Linked DNA regions of Macaca fascicularis. The protein of the gene in region 1 binds, or shares a complex with, the protein of each later gene. Links are inferred from orthologs where the notes say so. Each region holds a gene or a part of one and is shown in the gene's direction. Other genes may lie near its edges.

Region 1 (10,976 bases):
CACAAAAAGGATTATATACTGCAACGCATTGTGCATCTTGTTAAACTTGTCTAATTTTTATTTAAAACTGATGATTATTCCATTCCTTAGATGTATTTGAATTTATTTAATCAGAGGATCATTGTTTAAATGTAAGAATGCAGTTCCATCTATCCTGTAAGCTAGAGATCATACATCAACAACATTTACTGGTGAAATTTCGAATGAAGTGCTTCATTTCCACAAGCCAGTGTTCTGACTATAAGAGAAAAATTGTTTAGTTGACGTTTTTGGCATGTGGAAGCCACTGGAAAATTATAGATAATGAAGTATGTATTTTTATCATAAAAGGAGAAGAGTAATTAAGGACTTCAGTGTAAACTTAGCTAAATGAAGAGTCAGGAGTACAAAAATATTCTAATATTAACTATCAAAACTCTTCAGATTAAGATTATTTCAGTTTAGTACAATAACACAAAATGCAAAATTCTTTCAACTTGAAAGTTTACCCAACGGCAGCCATAAGCAGTTCTAAATAGGGAATTCTTGTGGTCATAAAGGGAACAGCCTATGACATCAGCCAACAACAATGCAGAAATCTTAAAGTAGAAGCGTCACAGGACTTGCTCTTCCAAATGCTGCATGACAAATATTACTAGGAAATATGCTTAACATTTATTTATTTTTATTCCCAATTTAAGTAAAAATTTACAATGGTTTTAGTTACGGTGATTTTTAGACATGATTTGAAGTCATTTAAGTCCTAATACGTAAATTGGAATTTGAAATTAAAAGTTCGTTTCTCCTTGAAGTTTATCTTACCTTGAAAAGTAGACATAAACAGCATACGCTTTAGTTGTGCGGTTCGATCACAAAAGATTCTGCTTTTTCTGTTCTACCTCTTAAAGGTTAAATAACATGCAGTGACAATCATGTTATAAGAAAATATTTGGAAGCACTATCTGATGGTTTAAATATTGTTTTAGATAAGACTAATCAATATACAACTCACAGTTCCAGGGCAACCACAGAGACATTTGTTTAGGCATGTAGTCTCTAAAAGAACTAATCGTGTAAGTGCTTAAAATAGTTATTCTTAATGTTTTGTTGTTAAGATCTCATTCAAAACACAACAATGCAGATATATAAGTAAAATTCTGTCTAGAATTTTAGGGGTTTCATAGTATCCCGTTCATAGGCATGAGGCAAGAACTCGGCCTAAGATAGTATGTTGTGGGGATTAATTTGTGTGTTCTAGGGGAAGAGGGTGGGAGGGAGGTGCAGGGAAGATGTTCTTACTTACCCCAAATGCCTTTTTTTAAGTGAAAAGTATCCTTCCTACTCCCTAATGTACCTGGCCTGAAATTGAGCTGTTCCTAACTTAAAATTGCAACTGCTAACTTTCCTCAAGATGCAGTTAAATGAGGAAAGAAATAATATTTTTTATAGTCACTAGCTGTAACACATTGGCAACACAATCATTTCCTGTAATGAGTGACCCTGGTTCCTAAAAATAACTCCAGTGCTAGTCAATTGCTTATATTGGGCATTTTTTTAATTCTTATTTGGGAAGGACATTCCCTTCCACAGCTGAAGAAACTCAGTGTTTGAAAAGAGCTGCCTAAAAGACTGTTCCCCATAGGCTGTTAAAAATGTTCAGCATCTGAATGCTGGTAAGGAATGCTCACACCCATTGGAGGCAATGCTGTGTGGACTCGAAAAGGAAAAATGGGGCCCCTATATATGGAAAACAGGAAGCAGAACAAGTTGAGGAAGCCTTACTCATCTGTGACCCATATTCAAAGCCATAGTCCAGCCACTGTTAGTTACCTAGAAAAGGAAAAGGCTGAATGGCTAGCCTAAGCTCTAAGGGACACATTGCAAATCAGGTCAGACTGTTGTGCCATTTTCCACCTTATTTTCAAATAAGCAAAGAAATGAAGCCTCAGTACAGCCTGGTGGATACACTGACACATGCCATACCTAGTCAATTGCTGGTTGCCTGATAGCAAACTTAATTTTTTACAGTTCCTCTGGCAATACTCCGTTATGAGTATAGAAGAGTGCTCACTAAATTGAAGCCCTCAAGCAAAAAAAAAAAAAAAAAAACAAGTTGCAAATTCAATACACTTCCAGTTTCTCTGCATTATATGACTATTTGCATGTTATTTATACATATGGAGACTGAAAAAGGAGGAACTGGCAGGACCGTCTCACCCCTTCTTGTTTTTCAAAATGTCAATAATTCCCAGGGCTGCTTTACACCAATACACACAGATTCACATTTTTAGAGATGGGTCTCACTGTGTTGTCCAGGCTGGACTACAGTGGCATGATCATAGCTCCTGGGCTCAAGAGATCCTCCCACCTCAGCCTCCTGAGCAGCCGGGACTACACACATGCACCACCACACCTGGGTAATTTTATTCTTCATTTTTCAGTTGGGGCCTGGGGTCGGTGGGGGCAGTGGTCTCACTATGTTGCTCAGTCTGGTCTCCAACTCCTGATCTCCAGCAATCCTCCTGCCTGAGCCTCCTGAGTAGCAGATTCACATTTTACAACAGTGATTTTAGTTTCTCAGGTAAAGGAATGGAGTTATTCATGATTCAGAAGCACTTCTATGTTAGTATTACATGATGTTATCAGAGACCTCTATTCCTTCCATCCCTATCCCTTCATCTTTTTCTTTGTTTAATGTTTAAAGGAGTTACATTCAAAGAAACTGGAAGTGACAGATGAGAAAAATATATCTAGCTTAGTCTACAGAAACAGTCGTTAGAAAAGTGGCTGAAGACTTACCTAGCCGTTGTCAATCAATTTGCTCCAAAGTCATCGCATACATTTATTATACAATGGTATTTAAAATCCAAGTCCCATTGATCAGCCAGGGGACTGTCAAGACTTTTTTCTTAACAAAATCTCCTAGTAGGGCATTTTCATCACACAGCAACTGCCTAATTCTTCATACTCACCCCCATGCTGCAACTCACATTTTCCCCTTACTATCACCAATGTTGAAATTAGTCTTCCTCTGTAAACCTGGAACCTGATTTGCAATATATCATGAATCTCTTTTGAATTTCTAAAATTATTCTTCTTATTCCTTATTATCTGGACACTGTTCTTTATAGAATGATCATATAAGTTATCATCTATACTAGGACATACTTTTGAGAGGGAAAAGGGGTGCTAATCAATAATAATATAAGTCAAACTAATAAAAACCTAGGCATCCAATAATGTCTTTCTTGCTGAGCAACTTTGAAACTTTACTTTGGAAAATGTTAGGTGAATAAAGATACATTTTGAAGAGCAAGTAGTAATATCACCAGTGACAAAACTAAAGGAAACATCAACTTTAATTATTTGACATAATAATGACTTAAAAGATGGCAGAAGACAATTGATAATAATTGGGAGACAATGTAGGTAAAGTATGGATTTGTCTTGAATTCAAGACACTAATGATGTTTTATTAGGTTGGTGCATGCAGCCATCTGGTTGACCTTAGACATGGGAAGGCAAGAGCCCTCTGATTGACCTTAAACATGGAAAGGTGAGAGCTATCTGGTTGATCTTACACATGGGAAGGCAAGAGACATCTGGTAGACCTTGCACCAACCTAATATGATAAGATCTAGCAATGTGGCTTGCAGTATTCCTACTTACCAGGATTTCCTGTTTAGCACGTATGCTGACCAATCTTTGCTTATTCATAAATTTCATAGTTAGCTCACTGTCCACCCATTATTTGTATGAAATCACAAGTAGACTCGTACTCTTGACCGATCACTGCTTTTCTTAGAGAACATGTTTCTTTAATTTCTTTTTCCTCAAAACTCGTGACTTCTGTACACAAATTGCTACCTCACACATCAGTTTAGTCAAGTCCCGGGAGAGCAACAGGACCCATTTATTCATTTATCAGATATTATCTGAGCCCCTATTATGTGTCCTCACAACAGTGCTCGACAGTGGTGTTAAAAAGGTCAGTAAATTGCCCTGGAGGAACTAATTTAGTTTAGAGTTGTGCATATGTAAACCTCATAATGTTCTTGTAGCAAAGATTAGCCAGTGCCTCCACCAGTCATATACAGGAGAAAAAATTCTGAGAATTGTAGTGCAAATCAGGCATGGACCAATTATGCTTTTGAACTATACAGTTTTCTGTAATGAGACTGGGCTAATTCTGATGAATTCTCAACAATGGTAAAATCCATACCTTTAAAATTCAAGAATGTTGTGTTCTAATGGCAGTTTGACCATTGAGATATTAACATAGGAACATCATTTAGCCTCTTAAGCTTGAACATCCATTAAGCGGGAAAAATAGTGCTTATTTCCTAGAGGTCTGCAGACATTGGCTAACCAATAGTTTTGATTTTGCTGGTAAGTAATGTGCAAATTTTCTTAGATGTGATCGCCTCATTTTCTCTTATATTTTAGATTGGCAGCAGCCAAATGGGCGTTCCAGCCCCTCATCTCCTGCAAGATTCTTCTCAGTTTCATAAATCTGGTAATTTTTGAGCTCTTTTCCCAACAGGGTGCTGCAGCTCACCAAGTGGAACCTACAACATTTTCTGCTACCAGGATAGCAGCTTGCCAGCAGCGTATACTGAAATTACTGGGTTTCAGTATGATGTTGGTTGGTACGAACTTCAATCATCGAATCGACATGCGCCCAGCCATTCTCATAATGAATGTTTCCTTCTCTTTCAAACGTTCTGTTTCCAGCCCCCATCTCCTTTTTTTTTTTCTTTTTTAAAGAGGTTTGAAACAGAAACTCTACTCCGTAGGAAGAAACTTTTCCTTCTCATCCCTGTTCCCCATAAAGGGACCTCCAGATAAATCTATCAAAAGCAGGACCCAACTCACCAGGTTTTCTAAAACGTTCCCCAGTCCCACCACCCTTCGTGGCACCCACGGGTTTCCCAAGTCTTCACCTTTCTCTTAGACACACGCTAGCACATTATCACTCCAGAAAAGCAGTCCTGGCTTAGCCAGTTCCCTTCCAGAATGACCACGTGGTTTTTGGCCCCATGGAGTCCTGCAGGGTATGGGGGGGTTCATGGTACCGATTTGCCTCGGGACTGAGGGGGCTTCCGGGATGCAGGACCTCCCGGGCTCTCAACGGGACATCAGTGGACAAACGGGAGGGAGGGTCGGACACGCGGATCCGAGGAAGCGGAACTTAAAGAACACGGGCCCAGCAGGCTACACCAGGAACGCGCGGGGCTTTAGGGCGCAACCGACCCCTCCCGCCCTTCACAGAGGAGGAAACTGAGGCATGGCGACTGTCTCAGCGGAGTCCCGGCCCTGCCCTCCACGGCCTCCCTCAGGCGCGCTCCCGAGCGGGCCAGTTCCTTTGTCCCGGTCGCGCTTCCTGCCTCCTCCTGCGCCTCCTCCTCGCCCCGGGGCCGGGCTGACGCGGCGGGAGAGGAATGCGTTTCCGGAGGGAGAGGGCGGTGGCGGCCTCGGGAGCGGGATCAGACGCGCAGAGGAGGCGGGGCCGCGGCTGGTTTCCTGCCGGGGGGCGGCTCTGGGCCGCCGAGTCCCCTCCTCCCGCCCCTGAGGAGGAGGAGCCGCCGCCACCCGCCGCGCCCGAGACTCGGGAGGCCCCGCCAGCCCGCAGGAGAGGCCGAGCGGGAGTCGCGGAACAGCAGGCCGGAGCCCACCGCGCCGGGGCCCGGACGCCGCGCGGAGAAGGTAGGCGCCGGCGGGCCTCGGGTGTGGGGGTGCGGGCCGCGGCCTCGGGTCTGCGGTGCGCAACAGCACTTAACAGCCGCCGGCCCGGGCCGCGCCGGGACCTTTGTGCCAGGCGTGGGGGCGGGGGCGGGGGCGGCCGCGGGCCGGTGGGGGCTGGGGCGGGATTCCAGGCTAGTCCGGGAGGAAGTCCGCACACCGCCACCCCCCTCGGGTCCCAGGCGCTGGCAGCGTCCGGGCGCCGAGTCGGCCCAGCCGCGTTCCGAGCGCTAGGGTCGCGGGCCTGGGCGCTGTCACGTCGGGGCTGCTGGAGCTGCGGAGGACCGGGCCTGAGCGGCTCCTGACACCTGCGGTCTCCCGCCAGGCTGGGCGAGCGCAGGTGGGAGCCAGCGAGGCCACCCGGGGCTCGGCGTTTAGGACTCAGCGCGCCCCTGGACTGGTCCTGCGCCTTTGTCTCTCGCTCCCTCGCTGGCTGCTGTTTTTGGAGCAGCGTCGAGCCGGCCGTCGGCGCCCGCTGTTGGGACTGGTCTTCTCCGACTGGAGCCGGGATAGAAAGTGGCCTCGCGGAGCCGCTGGGGACCGGGGGCGCGGCGGCGGCAGTGCAGTTCACTTCCCGGTGTTTATAAACGCGAATGCCGGGAAGTCAAGAGTCGCCGGCCCCTGCCGGGCACCCCGGGACCAGGACACAGGGCCACGGCCACTTTGCGCTCAGACCCGGTCCGCGAGCCTGAGAGCCCGTCCTGTGTCTAGTATCATTTTTACCGCGTGTCATTTCTTAGGCTTCATAAATTGGATTTATGAGACTCCCACTCTCTAAGTAACTTTCATTTAATCAAATTCGTGCTTTTAAGTCCAAAGCTTTGCACTCATTGGTATGATCATTAGTAAATTGCATTCTCTAAGCTTCCGTTTCCTCATCTGTGAAATAGGAACAATACTACCTACACTAATAATTCATTTTTATAACAATGACAGCGAGGGCCAGGTTTAGCTCTAGGCATTTCATGTGTATTATTTAATTCTGGAACTGCTCTAATGAGATTGCTACTGTTTCTATTTCCATTTTCCGAGTGAAGAAACGGAGGCACAGGGAGCAAAAAGTAAGTTGCATATGGTCATCGGGAGCTCCTGGAGAAGGCATGGGGTCTAGCTCCAGAGCCTACGTTTAAACCAAAAGTAACCTTCCTAACTATAGTCGTGAAAATCAAATGCAAAATGTAAAACACTTAGCTTGAGAGTAGATGCTCAATGAATATTGACTGCTTTTCAGCCCTTCTTTTATAGTAAAAAGATTTCTCGGAAGGTAATTGGTAACATCATTAGTAAGGTTTCTTTGGGCCAACGTGCCACATGGATAACAGGTGGATAGAATTGCTAGGTTATTTTGTTTTGTTTTGAGACAGGGTCTCTGTCGCCCAGGCTGGAGTGCAGAGGAGCTATCACAGCTCACTGCAGCCTCAGCCTCTCGTGCTTAAGTTATTTTTCCACCTCAGCCACCTGAGTAGCTGGAACGACAGGCGCCTGCCACCATGCCCGGCTAATTTTTTAATTTTTTGTAGAGACAGGATTTCACTATGCTGCCCAGGCTGGCCTCAAACTCCTAGGCTCAAGCAGTCCTCTCTCCTAGAGCTCCCAAAGTGTTGGGATTACAGACTTGAGCCCCCTGAGCCTGGCCCTTAGGTTATTATTATTTTTCTTATTGTACTTCTGATGCTACAAAAATAACGTTCTAGAGGAATTTAGACATCTTTCTTAAACCACATATGCCCTTTACGATAGGGTATACAATAGGCCACTTTTAGAAATGATTAAGGAACTTTAGTTGGCAGTTACCTGTTCATTTGTGGACATCAAGGCCCAGAGGGGTCAGGACTTAGAGTCTCACTGTAATTCTCATATTTTTAAATAATGTTGGCTCATTGATCAATATTATATAAGTGACTGAAGATGGTGAAGTGTTAAATAAAAAACATTGGTATTTTGATTACAGGCATTTGGGGGGAAAGCCATTTTACTTACCCCAAAATTGAGTATGAAGGTGGAAGATGTTATTAGAATACTAGCTAAAAGGACAAAGAATGTGGTTAATAGTTTAATTGTGTAAAAAGGAAGCAAATAGACTGTTTAACTCATCTATGTTGACTTCAGACCTAGACCTACAATTTTATGTGATTTTCCTAACAATGTAAAGTTCTGTATTAAAGTTATTTTTGAATACCTTCAACATTCTGTACATGAAATGCATGGAATCAACAATTCTGAAAGTCACTGCATTTAGTAATTTTAACAATTAGGCAGCTTTCTTCTTAGCTTTCTGGTCAGTATAATTTAATTTAAATCAGCCCCAAATTACCATCACGAATGAAAATGTAGTTCTACATTGGTGTTCTTCCTAACTCTGGGAGTGACACTGGGGACAAATGGTCATACTATAATAATGAAAAGTGGTCAAACAACATGGTGCCAGTTTTTCTAAGAGTGCTTGCCACTGATTTTAATGTCTTTATTGTTTGACTTCTTGATAAGTAAGTTGTGGCTTACAGCAGGGAGTAGTACAGTGTTCTGTCCGAAAAAAATATTCATTAATATTCTGTAGCTGCTCTGGTTTGCCCTTAACCATGCTGCTAGTGTGATAAGCTGAAACATCTTGTAAAAGTTTCAGAGAGCTTTCAAGTTCCGAGAACTTAACTTTCTGAGTATGTAACAAGCTACATATATCTGAAAGGATTCATTTGGACTTCTGTCAGATTTTAGCAGATTTTCTCACTCTACGAGAGAGTTAGGATCTGTTAGGTTGTGGGTGGAATCCTAGAGATTATGCCAGGTAAATATGTAAGTGTCTGTATTGTATTAGCAGTGTTTACTCTGACTTGGTTCTAGGTTCTGAGAATTTGGCTGGTTGTTTTTTCAGAGGTGGGAAGTGTGGAGTAGAGAGGTTAAGATACAGAAAGGTACATTCGTCTTCTGAATCCTGAAGTGTCATGCTAGGGGTATCTATAGCTGTGGAAAACTGAAAGAATATTATGGTATGTACCCAGGTTAAAGGGGGTACAGTGCGTAAAAGTCAGAATATTAGCAGCCTTCCAATATGTCTGTCGGTAGGTGAAAAAAAATTTCTCTCTTTCAGGAGCTGTGTACAAAAGGATCCAAACTATACTTTATACATGTGTTACTGCTTTAAAAGTGGCTGTGAGTGTTTAGAGGTCAACTGACTTTAAACTTGCCGTTTGATTTGTGACTTTAGAAAGTAGAGTTAACTATATTTAGCAATATGCTTAAACATGTGCATATCACCTCATGAAACATGTGTGTGCATGAGAAAAGCTGCCTCCAGTACATATACATATGTATATAAACACACATACACACAAGCATATATATGTATGTATTTCTTGTAGGACCAGTCTCATTGTATATAATTTCAAAGTGCAGGTTCCTGATCTCCAGGGGTGCGTAAAAAGACTCACTGAAGTATGGGAAGAAAATTTTAGGTCTACTATTATGTTTGTTGATCTCATCACTTCAAAGTTTAAAATTTTGATTATGATTTATATCTTACTGTATTGCTGTAGAAGTACACGTATTTGAATTTATAAATTACATGTATTTTGGGTACATGTATGCTTAGAATTTTTTTAGTGATAAAGGTGAGTGGTCAGAAACCTTTGCAGATCCCCTATATGGAGGATGATTTGAGTGGAGTTCAAGAACTAGTATATTTAGGAGGGAGAATTGAAAAGACTTGATAAGAGAAATGAAAGAAACCCAATGTGACACTGGTTTCTGGCTAGGAGGTGCTGTTCACTGAGGTGAGAGGGTGACCACAAGCCGGGGCTGCTGGTTGGCTGGAGCAGAGGGGAAATGATGACCTTATGAGGCTGAGTTTTATTTTTTTAAGGTGACCGGGGACATAGGTGGAGATGTCTAAATTGCAGTTGAATACACAGGGTAAGAGCTAAAAAAAAAAAAAAAAAACAAAAAACAAACAGATTTCAATTTGGAAATTCTCAGTCTATTAAGTACTGGTTGAAGCTATAGGCTGTGCATGCAAACACCAAAGGAGGGTGTGGAGTGAAAAACGGACTGAAGGAGGACCTGGGAACAGTCAAGGTGGGTAGAGGAAGAGGAATCCAGAAAAGCATTTACCTTCCCCAGTTTCTTCTCTGAACTTCTAATTCCTTTGAGTGACATTTTTGTGAGTGACAAAGGTATTTCTGGGTTTTTCCAGTGATTGGCATGTTTGAGTTAAAGACAAAAAGACTTCATTGGTCACATCCCTTTGTGGTAATTTATTTTCAGGTACCTGATCAGAGAAGCAGTTTGATGTAGTAAAGGCTTCTCGATTGCGAGGCAGGAAACCTGGGTGTCAGTGCAGGGTCTGCCACTGAATTTCTGTGTGACCTTTGTCAGAGTACTATACTTCCAGGGCATTGGTTTCCACATCTACCCTATAAAGCAGTCTGCATGTTTCTGTCGTTTTCTTGTTCCAGGAGTTGGAGGATAGCTGCTGCCTGATGTAAGTAGAATGCAGTTCTCTCACCCCATGAGCAACCTTTCTTTTTTTTTTTTTTGTATCACCAGAGAGTGTAGGCGCCGTGCCACTTACTCCTTTAAGGATGCCTGCCAGCGCTGACCAGCAACATCTGTCACAACATCTGTCACAACAGCTCTGCATCAGGATGTAGCTCGGCTGTACATTACATTTTATTCTATCAGTACATTGAGTACCAGTTACCTGAAAAATGCTTTACTCATTGGGCATGAATCAAGAAGTCGGCATGGTCTTTGATGTTGAGTCTGTTGTCTAGTTGGAACAAGTTGTGTTCGGTTCAGGAAAACATAAATACCAAAGAGTGTTTTATACAATGTACTGTACCATAAAATATTCCCTAACAGCGTTAGAAAAATCTCAGCATTGTCTTGTGTGGTTTCGGAACACGTTGTGTAGGAGATGAGGCCTGAGCTTGGAATGGTATGAGTGAAGGTTGGAAGACAGATGGGTGGCACTTTCAAGGGACAGCATAGGAAGAATCCAGTCTAATTTCACAGATAGTACTTGGCCACTTTGTTACTTATTAGGAGTTATGTATAATATCATATATGTATCACAATGATATATGAAGGCTATATTTTAAAATGAAAGCCTGGATTCTTGCCCTCCAACACTAGCCTGATGAGAGATACAGACATGAATAAAATTAGTTATAATAGAAGTTTGAACAGAAATAACACTATATTATTGAGCATCACTGAAGGTTTGTCATTCACTGTGCTGGCCACTATCAAGGCTATTT
Region 2 (9,986 bases), on another chromosome or scaffold:
AATGTTTGGTGTCTCCCCGCTATCTAAAAAAGTATAAGAACAAGCAGGTACTTGCTTCATTTTACTTCATCTGTTTTCTGCTGGTTTGTTCTTATAATTTTATACATAACCTTGTTTTTCCCCTCTTAAACAACACTTTTTCGTCTTAATATTGTGTCAGGTGGTTAGAATATAAAATACAGATAAGAGTATCCCTAATTGGAACTTCTGAAATCCTACAAAATCTGAAACTTTTTGAGTGCCAACATGACTCTCAAATGCTCATTGGCACATTTTGGATTTCAGATTTGGGATCCTCAACCGGTAAGTGTAATACAAATATTCCAAAATCCAAAAATATCTGAAACCCAAAACACTTCTGGTCCCAAGAATTTTGGATAATGGATACTCAACCTGTAGGAAATAAAGTAACCTTTAGTCAAGTTTAAATTGGTCATTTAAAACAAATCTTTATCATTTTAATAAGGAGGCAGAATAGTTGAGAACTTACTCTAAACAACTTGCAGAAATCATTCTGTTAACATGATGATGTTCTTTCAGACATTTTAGGGAATTGAATATGGTCTCAATGCTTTGCATTCCTTAATTTATTTAATTTTATTCCTTATATAATTAAGTAAATGTGACGTAAAGTGCAGCCAGCATTTCCCAACAAAATTCATAATACCAACTATTGTTGAAATGGGCTTTTCCAACTTTAGAATGAAACTTTACAAGAGTATATTTTTAGCTGTGTCTTTTCTTAACATTATCAGTCAGAACCTAACCAAAATTTTATACATAGTTACACAGTTTGGTAAATTTTCATTGAAATTTGCTTTTGTCCACTCTGTTTAGAATTCTTTTCTTTGGAAATTAATACCATAAAAGGGTTGCTACTTAGGAAAATGGTTCTTTGGTACAACATAAAAGTCCTTTACAGGGGAATTTCACTTGGGATAGGCCCTGGTATTCCCTGCACCCAACATCATGCCATAAAAGGAAAAGGCTTCAATTTGGGGGTGGGGGGGATGAAGACCTTTAAAATAAATATTTTGTTTTTATCTAATTGTGCTTTAATCTTTGTTAAGGAGTAATTTTAAAACATACTGAAAAGGCTCAATGAAATGCCCAGAACACTTATTAATTCCTTAACTTTAAATATAATATTGATTATATGGGTCTGAAATTATTTCTACCTAAATGTTCAGAGGTTTTAATCACAGAGTATTTGTCTTTAAGTCTCAGAGGTTGTGTAAGCCTAGAAATTGTTTATCCCATGGTCATATGATGTGGGAGTAGTAAGGAATGGAGGAAATGCTGCCCTGGGGAACTGTGTGGAATGTAGATTGTAAGTTAAAAAGGGAAAGTAAAGCAAGTGCTAATTTCATTTTTCATATTCGTAGTTATTTCATTTTAAAATTATACAGAATCTTGTTTCTAAAAGTGAATATATTTGCCTTCAAAGGCAATAAGTAATTTCAAACCTGTTTTATGACCAGTTTTATCATTTCACAGTAAGGTATCAGGGAGATAGACGAGCTTAAACGAGAACTGCCACACATTATTTTCTTTTTTTTTTTTTTTTTTTTTTTTTTTTTTTTTTTTGAGACGGAGTCTCGCTCTGTCACCCAGGCTGGAGTGCAGTGGCCGGATCTCAGCTCACTGCAAGCTCCGCCTCCCGGGTTCACGCCATTCTCCTGCCTCAGCCTCCCGAGTAGCTGGGACTAGAGGCGCCTGCCACCTCGCCCGGCTAAGTTTTTGTATTTTTAGTAGAGACGGGGTTTCACTGTGTTACCCAGGATGGTCTCGATCTCCTGACCTCGTGATCCGCCCGTCTCGGCCTCCCAAAGTGCTGGGATTACAGGCTTGAGCCACCGCGCCCGGCCACACACATTATTTTCACTGTCAACTATTTGTTTTCTCAGAGGCCTTTTAAATGATAGTTCTTGACTAGAAACTATCAACTGAAAATTCTCCTGAGAACAAAGATGAGGATTCATCTTTAACTGACAGGAGGACAGTTTGTGTGTGGTCCATGGTTAAAGATCCTTCTGGCCTTGCCTTTCATGTTGCCATCTAATCAAATGCACATTTTTAACCCTACTTTCTCTCACCAGAGTGATAGGTTAGGTTTTTGGTGTGTATTTTGTTATTTTTGAGGCAGAGTCTTGCCCTGTCTCCCAGGCTGGAGTGCGGTGGCACCATCATAGCTCAAGCTCACTGCAGCCTCCATCTCCCAGGCTCAAGCAATCCTCCTACCTCAGCCTCCCTAGTAACTAGAACCACAGGCACACACTGCCACTCCAGGCTAATTTTTGTATTTTTTGTAGAGACGAGCTCTCGCTATGTTGCTTAGGCTGGTCTCAAACTCTTGAGCTCAAGTGATCCGCCTGCCTTGGCCTCCCAAAGCACTGGGATTACAGGCGTGAGCCACCACACTTTGCTGGAATAGACTTACAAATTGTTGGCCAGGCACAGTGGCTCACGCCTGTAATCCCAGCACTTTGAGAGGCCGAGGCAGGCGGATCACTTGAGGTCAAGAGTTTGAGACCAGCCTGGCCAACATGGTGAAACCCCATCTCTACTAAAAATACAAAAATTAGCCAGGCATGGTGGTGTGCATGCCTATAATGCCAGCTACTGGGGAGGCTGAGGCAGGAGAATCGCCTGTACCTGGGAGGCGGAGGTTGCAGTGAGCCATCACACTCCAGCCTGGGCAATAAGAGTGAAACTCTGTCTCAGGAAAAAAAGAAAATTGTTTCCAGATATTACTGCCCTGGCGCCTAGTAAGTAGTGATCCTCAGAAGCTTAGTTGCTACTGTGTGTCAGACACCACACTAGTCACACTGGACGTAGTGCTCAGTAATTATTAAGCTATATCCAGTTGCATTCTGGAGTCTGTAGGAAGATGTGCAGGCCACAAGGACATTCTTCCCTTCCAGGGCATATCGACTGGTAGTTTTCTTTTGGGTCTATCAAAATAACCTGTTGTATTTAACCTACTTTAATTCCCTTCAATTATACATATATTAACTAAATACTCTATGGGTATTTTTAAACAAATATGACTCTCAAACTGGCTTTTTAAATTTTGAAGAATTATTCTATATGTTGATTTATGTTAATCTAAATGGAAATGACTAATGCCATAAAGCCGAAATTCCTCATGTAGTATACGGCATCTCTTTATTTTCCCTTCCAGGAAAAAGGATGCAAAAAACACATGGTAACTGAGGGGTTTGCTTTTCTTGTGTAAAAAAAAAAAAACAGATGGGCACTGCACTTATTTTATGCCTTCAAATTCTTATTTCTGAAAAGCAGTGCATGGATCATATTATCTGACTAAATCTGAGAATACTTTAAAGGCTTTTGAATACTTTTATTTTGCTACTAAAATAATTGGCTTTATCCTAACCAGTGAGAACTGGGTACATGATGTAGGGGGAAAGAAATATTTGCTCTTTTTATTTTCTCCCTACAAATTTCTACCCTTAGGTTCTTTAGTAACATTTAACATTCTAAAATAATGTGGAGTGTTTCTCAGTGTTCTAAATGGAAAGTAATTGCTGCTTCCTCATTTTCATTTTTCATTCTTGCATTTACTTTGCTTGGTTTCTACCTAAAGTAGTTTTTTGCATGACTTTTGGCTGGAATTTTGGTTTGCAGGTGACCGCAACTTTTTCTTTGCTTCATTGCCATTTTTTCTGATTGCCTTTTTTTTTCTTTCTGCTTCCTTTTTCTTTCCTCGCATTGCCATCTACAGCCAGGCTATGTAAGAGATTTGGTAAGTTCTCCATATTTACCAAAAAAGAAAAAGAAGAATAAAAAAAAATTCATAGCCACAACCTTCCCTCATGGAATTTACTCCCGTAGTGAAATTTAAAATAAAAATGATTACGGTGATTTCAAGTACCTTAAAGCTGCTAACAGATAATCCTGCTAGAAACTTGTATTCCAGGTATTCATTCTGATTATAGACATAGTGCTAAATTTAATTAAAACTCATCTATATGTGGATTAGAATGTGCTGTTCTATAATAGTAGTACCATTATCTGTATGCATTTGAAATATGTCTCAAGTGTGGCAACTGTGTACTCCTAATAGTACTTTTTGTTGATATATGAAAACTGAAATTAAGACTTATTTTGAAAAATCATTATATAATAATTATTAAAATTTCCAAATGTAGCTTCAGATATTTTGATTTCAACTCTTACAATGTGATTTTGGGGTACGGGGTACGTAATTCAATCTTTTGATCTTTTGTCTCGATTGTCCCATGAGAGAATAATGTTCAATGGTAAAGGTGATGTTTAATCATGTTTAGATAACAGCGAGAATCTTGGAGGCCCATCAGAATGTAGCTCAGATGAGTCTAATTGAAGCCAAGATGAGATTTATTCAAGCTTGGCAGTCATTACCTGAATTTGGCATCACACACTTCATTGCAAGGTCAGTGGTTCTAAGCATCTATGTGTAAACCTTAATCTGCATTTTTGCTTCATCTATGTCATGTAATTAGATATTAAACATTTAAAGCATACCTATGTAGACCCATTAACTCATATTACAGTAGAATTCAAAGACTGTTAGAATGTATTTTGTAAGCTTTTAATTTCTACATTAAAAATTCAAGATAATTGTGTTTGTTTTACTACTAAGGGAATAGCACTCTTTTAGGGTTGGAGAACACTTACCTTGAAGAAAAGCAGTCCAACATGTTCCCCCACGACATGTTGTAACTGTTCTTTTCTTAAATATTATAGGTTCCAAGGGGGCAAAAAAGAAGAACTTATTGGAATTGCATACAACAGACTGATTCGGATGGATGCCAGCACCGGAGATGCAATTAAAACATGGCGTTTCAGCAACATGAAACAGTGGAATGTCAACTGGGAAATCAAAATGGTAAACTCGTCCCAATGTTACTTGAATATAGTTCTTCTGATACAAATTAGCATATTAGGAATAAAAAGGCCTATAAATTCTGATGATTGTTTGTACCACCACCTCTTAAAGTACAGACAGACCATGGTTGACTATTCATTTCTCACTTAAATTTGCCTATTTCATAATTAGCCCAGTTACTAAAATTCTAAGCATATAATTTGCTTAGAATGTTGCCCTTTTTGTCTTTCTGTAATGGATAAAGCCCTTCTACTCCGAAATAGCAACTACTATTTGTTGAATGCCTACCCTGTGCCAGACATGATACTGGAGGCTTACATTAGTACCCCATCTCAAAACCTCATCACAGCCTTTTAAGGTAGTTGGATTACCGTACGTTACAAATGAAGACACTGCAATATAGAGGCTTGAGGGCCACCATTGTCTATGACCACGCACAAAGTAACTACAGAGTCATTTCAAACTCAGATGCTTTAGGCTTAAAAACCTGGCACATTTACCACTGTACATCATGTTGCCCCTGGTCTTGGAGTACACAAATATCATTTAAATTGAACAATCTTTTACTAATAAGTCATTTGGTTTAGGATCATATTGGATTTATTGTATCAATTCATGTTACTTCAAAGAATCTTATATTTCTGAAATACTCAAACGTGATACCTAAAGTTTAAATAGCTGAAGCAAATATTAAAACACAGGAAGGAGGCTTTCCTCCAGGACTTGAAGAGAGGCATTCTCGTTAATTGAATCGTCAGAGACCATTTGAGAACTGAATGACCTAAAACCCTTGCATTCCTAGTCTTCCTTTTCAGAACATGAAAACTTAAAAAAGGGTAGGGGAAGGGCAATAAACTTAACTTCTTCTTTGGGACTTAAAGGCATTACTAGTTTAGGTTTTAAACAGACTAATTATTTGAGGATCAACAAGTGTTTTCTGATGGGACCGGCTTTAAGTAGCGCAGTAGTTGTGTGAGTCGTTTTGTGTGGACCCCGCCACCTGGCATTCGGGACAGCACTGATGATTCTTGTCTTTGTTCCAGGTCACCGTAGAGTTTGCAGATGAAGTACGATTGTCCTTCATTTGTACTGAAGTAGATTGCAAAGTGGTTCATGAATTCATTGGTGGCTACATATTTCTCTCAACACGTGCAAAAGACCAAAATGAGAGTTTAGATGAAGAGATGTTCTACAAACTTACCAGTGGTTGGGTGTGAATAGAAATACTGTTTAATGAAACTCCACGGCCATAACAATATTTAACTTTAAAAGCTGTTTGTTATATGCTGCTTAATAAAGTAAGCTTGAAATTTATCGTTTTATCATGAAAACTTCTTTGCCTTACCAGACCAGTTAATATGTGCACTAAACAAGCACGACTATTAATCTATCAGGATATAATAAACTTGAATTTGGCACACATTCCTTAGGGCCATGAATTTAAAACTGAAATAGTGGGCAAATCAGGAACAGACCATCACTGATTTAAGCTAGCCAAACTGTAAGAAACAAGCCATCTATTTTAAAGCTATCCAGGCCTTAACCTATATGAACTCTATTTATCATGTCTAATGCATGTGTTTTAATGTATGTTTAATTTGATATCATGTTTTAAAATATCCTACTTCTGGTAGCCATTTAATTCCTTCCCCTCACCCCCAAATAAATCAGGCCTGCAGGAGGCCTGATGTTTAATAATGTCATTGTGTTTGACCTTGAAGGAAAATGCTATTAGTCTGTCGTGCTTGATTTGTTTTTGTCCTTGAATAAGCATGTTATGTATATTGTCTTGTGTTTTTATTTTTACACCATATTGTATTACACTTTTAGTATTCACCAGCATAATCACTGTCTGCCTAAAATATGCAACTCTTTGCATTACAATATGAAGTAAAGTTCTATGAAGTATGCATTTTGTGTAACTAATGTACAAACACAAATTTTATAAAATTGTACAGTTTTTTAAAAACTACTCACAACTAGCAAATGGCTTAAATGTAGCATCTCTGCATTAATTAAATGCCTTTAAGAGATATAATTAATGTGCAGTTTTAATATCTACTAAATTAAGAATGACTTCATTATGATGATTTGCCACAATGTCCTTAACTCTAATGCCTGGACTGGCCATGTTCTAGTCTGTTGCGCTGTTACAATCTGTATTGGTGCTAGTCAGAAAATTCCTAGCTCACATAGCCCAAAAGGGTGCGAGGGAGAGGTGGATTACCAGTATTGTTCAATAATCCATGGTTCAAAGACTGTATAAATGCATTTTATTTTAAATAAAAGCAAAACTTTTATTTAATAGTTATTTTTGTACTTGTTTTTAATGTTTACATAGTATCAATTTAGTAGAAATGAACTTCTGCCTTTTGGAAATGCTTTGCCTACATGTTGTTATTTTGTGAGAACAACGGGTTAGTATTCCACATCATCGCCAGATAGACACACTTTATCTCAAAGATAGTCTTTCGCCTCAATTGAAAAGCCCTCATTTTCTTAACACTTAAAAATGAATGTGTAATACCTAAATGTTAGAAATGTACTTATAAATAGAAGTTGGCTGTGGCAGAATTTGTTTTAAATAACAAAATTATTCTTGTTTTACAAAAAAAAATACGTTTACGAATTTACTGCCAGTCATTACTGCTGTCATCATTCAAGACTCAAGACTTTTTAGTCCTTTACCCTTTGCATGTAGACCAATTCCTGATTTTCCCCTCACACAGCCTTGCATCTTTTGTTATTGCTGCCACCATCATCCAAATTCAGTTCTTTGTCCTGTGCCTGCTGTAGTGTGGCACCATCTTAAGACAAGGCTGAGATCACATTCTCCATGACTTTTCTTTGCACTCTAAAGCCATAACAGGCCTTGCTCCAAAATTTAAGAGCACCTTTCCACTAAACATTTTAAAATATACTCCCTTTCCTCATCTTTAGTAAGTGACTGTGCAAGTCACCAACTTGAATATTCAGCAACTTGCATGTCACCTACCGAAAGCCCCAAAACATTCATTGAAACCACACCTATTCAAGTGCTTTCTAGTCCCATGGCCTCCACGCAAGTGAGAATAGCCTCTGTGCTGATTGCCCCACTTCTAGTTTGCCCTGCTGCCCTCCCAGTGATTTTGAGATTAATCCAGCCCCAACATAGCACTGACTGCATTTCAGCTCTAATGACTTCTTATTGCCTACAGGATAAAAGCCAAAGTAAAGTGCTCAGAGGTTTTGTATGGTTTCCCAGCCCACATTTTCATCCTTATCTCCCAACAATCTGCATTGCAGTCCAGCTGGGCAGCTCACATTCTCCACTTTGCACTCATCCCATCTCCCTATCATTCCCCAAGTCTGGAATGTCTAGTCCTGGACCTTCGTACAGTTTGTACCTGTCTACACCTCATCTGTCTAGCATTTTAGAAAAAGGTCAAGTGGGCCTGGCACAGTGGGTCACACCTGTAATCCCAGCATTTTGGGAGCCTGAGGTAGGTAGGTCACGAGGTCAGGAGTTCAAGACCATCCTGGTCAAGATGGTGAAACCCCGTCTCTACTAGAAATACAAAAATTAGCTGGGCATGGTGGCACACACTTGTAATCCCAGCTACTGGGGAGTCTGAGGCAGGAGAATTGCTTGAACCTGGGAGGTGGAGGTTGCAGCGAGTTGAGATTGTGCCACTGCACTCCAGTCTGGGCAACAGAGTAACACTCCATCTCAAAAAAAAAAAAAAAGCCAGGCATAGTGGCTTATGCCTGTAATCCCAGCACTTTGGGGGCTGAGGTAGGAGGATCATGAGGTCAAGAGATCAAGACCATCCTGGCCAACATGATGAAACCCCGTCTCTACTAAAAATAGAAAAATTAGTCGGGCATGGTAGTGCGCACCTGTAGTCCCAGCTACTTGGGAGGCTAAGGCAGGAGTATCGCTTGAACCCAGGAGGCGGAGGTTACAGTGAGCCAAGATTTCACCACTGCACTCCAGCCTGGGTGACAAAGTGAGACTCCATCCCAAAAAAAAAAAAAGAAAAAAACTCAAGTGTTCTTTCTTCTATAAACACTTTCAAGTTTCCTTGCAGCCAAAAAACTCTCTTCCTCTTCTGAACTGCCATTGAATTTGGTCCTTCTGCGGAACTAAAGAGTGATCATCCTTATTATGGTTGAGTATATCATGTCGCCCCTAACAAATTATTACATGTTTGAGGATTTGGTTGAATTTGGTCCTTCTGTGGAACTAGAGTATCCAAATCATTACATCCTTGAGGACTGGATCTCAGTGCTATGGTTCCTACTTAGGATCACTTACACATGGGTTTATTGAATATAATGATGGTTATTTTGGAAATAACAAAATTATTAACCAAACCAAATAACCAAAGGAATTATTATTAGAACTAAGAGTTTGTGTAGCCTCAGTATAGTTTAATACAGAGCAAACTAACTCTTTTTTTTTGGACACCAACTATGCAATAGGAAGCATGCTAAGTACTCATATTCTCTCAAGGATGCATACAGTCCAGCCTCATCATTTTATAGATGAAGCTAGAGGAGGCCAACTGACCTGTTTAAAGTCAGACATCTATGATTACTGCCAAGGCCAATCATCTTCCTATCTAGTAGTAGTAAAAACAAACCTTACATGAATTCTGAGAACACCATTAGTAGTGACCTCTCTAGAGAGAACATAGGTCTGTGAGAACACCAGCTGGGACTCAGAGACCTAGGTTCAGCTTTCTGCTCCATGTGACTCAAGCTCATGTGGATATGAAAGCACTGGTGACAGGACCCCAACCTAGCTCCCATCCAACTTTTTACCTTAGATCAGCAGGTTAGAAACCTGCTGGAAGCCCCTGGCCGGGCACGGTGGCTCACGCCTGTAATCCCAGCACTTTGGGAGGCCGAGGTCAAAAGATTGAGACCATCCTGGCCAACATGGTGAAACCCCGTCTCTACTAAAAATACAAAAATTAGCCCCAACTACTCAGGAGGCTGAGGCAAGAGAATGGCTTGAACCCAGGAGGTGGAGGTTGCAGTGAACTGAGATTGCGCCACTGCACTCCAGCCTGGGCGACAGAGTGAGACTCCATCTCAAAAAAAAAAAAAA

What was found. The genes of interacting proteins can lie anywhere in the genome.
Region 2: the proteins of ITGB1 (region 1) and FERMT2 are in contact, whole or in part, in a crystal structure (PDB 8TEE), measured with the Mus musculus proteins. The link is inferred for Macaca fascicularis from reciprocal best matches to the Homo sapiens genes ITGB1 and FERMT2. Residues at the interface, in NP_034708.1 of Mus musculus: Ala786, Val787, Thr788, Thr789, Val790, Val791, Asn792, Pro793, Tyr795, Glu796, Gly797; in NP_666166.2 of Mus musculus: Phe609, Ser610, Asn611, Met612, Lys613, Gln614, Trp615, Asn616, Val617, Asn618, Trp619, Glu620, Ala629, Asp630, His647, Ile654, Ser657, Thr658, Lys674, Leu675, Ser677, Gly678.

What each region holds. Positions count from the first base shown.
Region 1 is NC_088383.1:33,706,855-33,717,830, reverse strand, and holds the start of ITGB1 (integrin beta-1), read left to right. Parts: upstream 1-5,582; 5' UTR 5,583-5,685; intron 5,686-5,858; exon of another isoform or gene 5,859-6,782; intron 6,783-10,976.
Region 2 is NC_088381.1:120,696,931-120,706,916, reverse strand, and holds the end of FERMT2 (fermitin family homolog 2), read left to right. Parts: coding exon 1-47; intron 48-3,184; coding exon 3,185-3,208; intron 3,209-3,745; coding exon 3,746-3,766; intron 3,767-4,310; coding exon 4,311-4,435; intron 4,436-4,749; coding exon 4,750-4,891; intron 4,892-5,934; coding exon 5,935-6,108; 3' UTR 6,109-7,196; downstream 7,197-9,986. UniProt on the Homo sapiens protein: Scaffolding protein that enhances integrin activation mediated by TLN1 and/or TLN2, but activates integrins only weakly by itself. Binds to membranes enriched in phosphoinositides.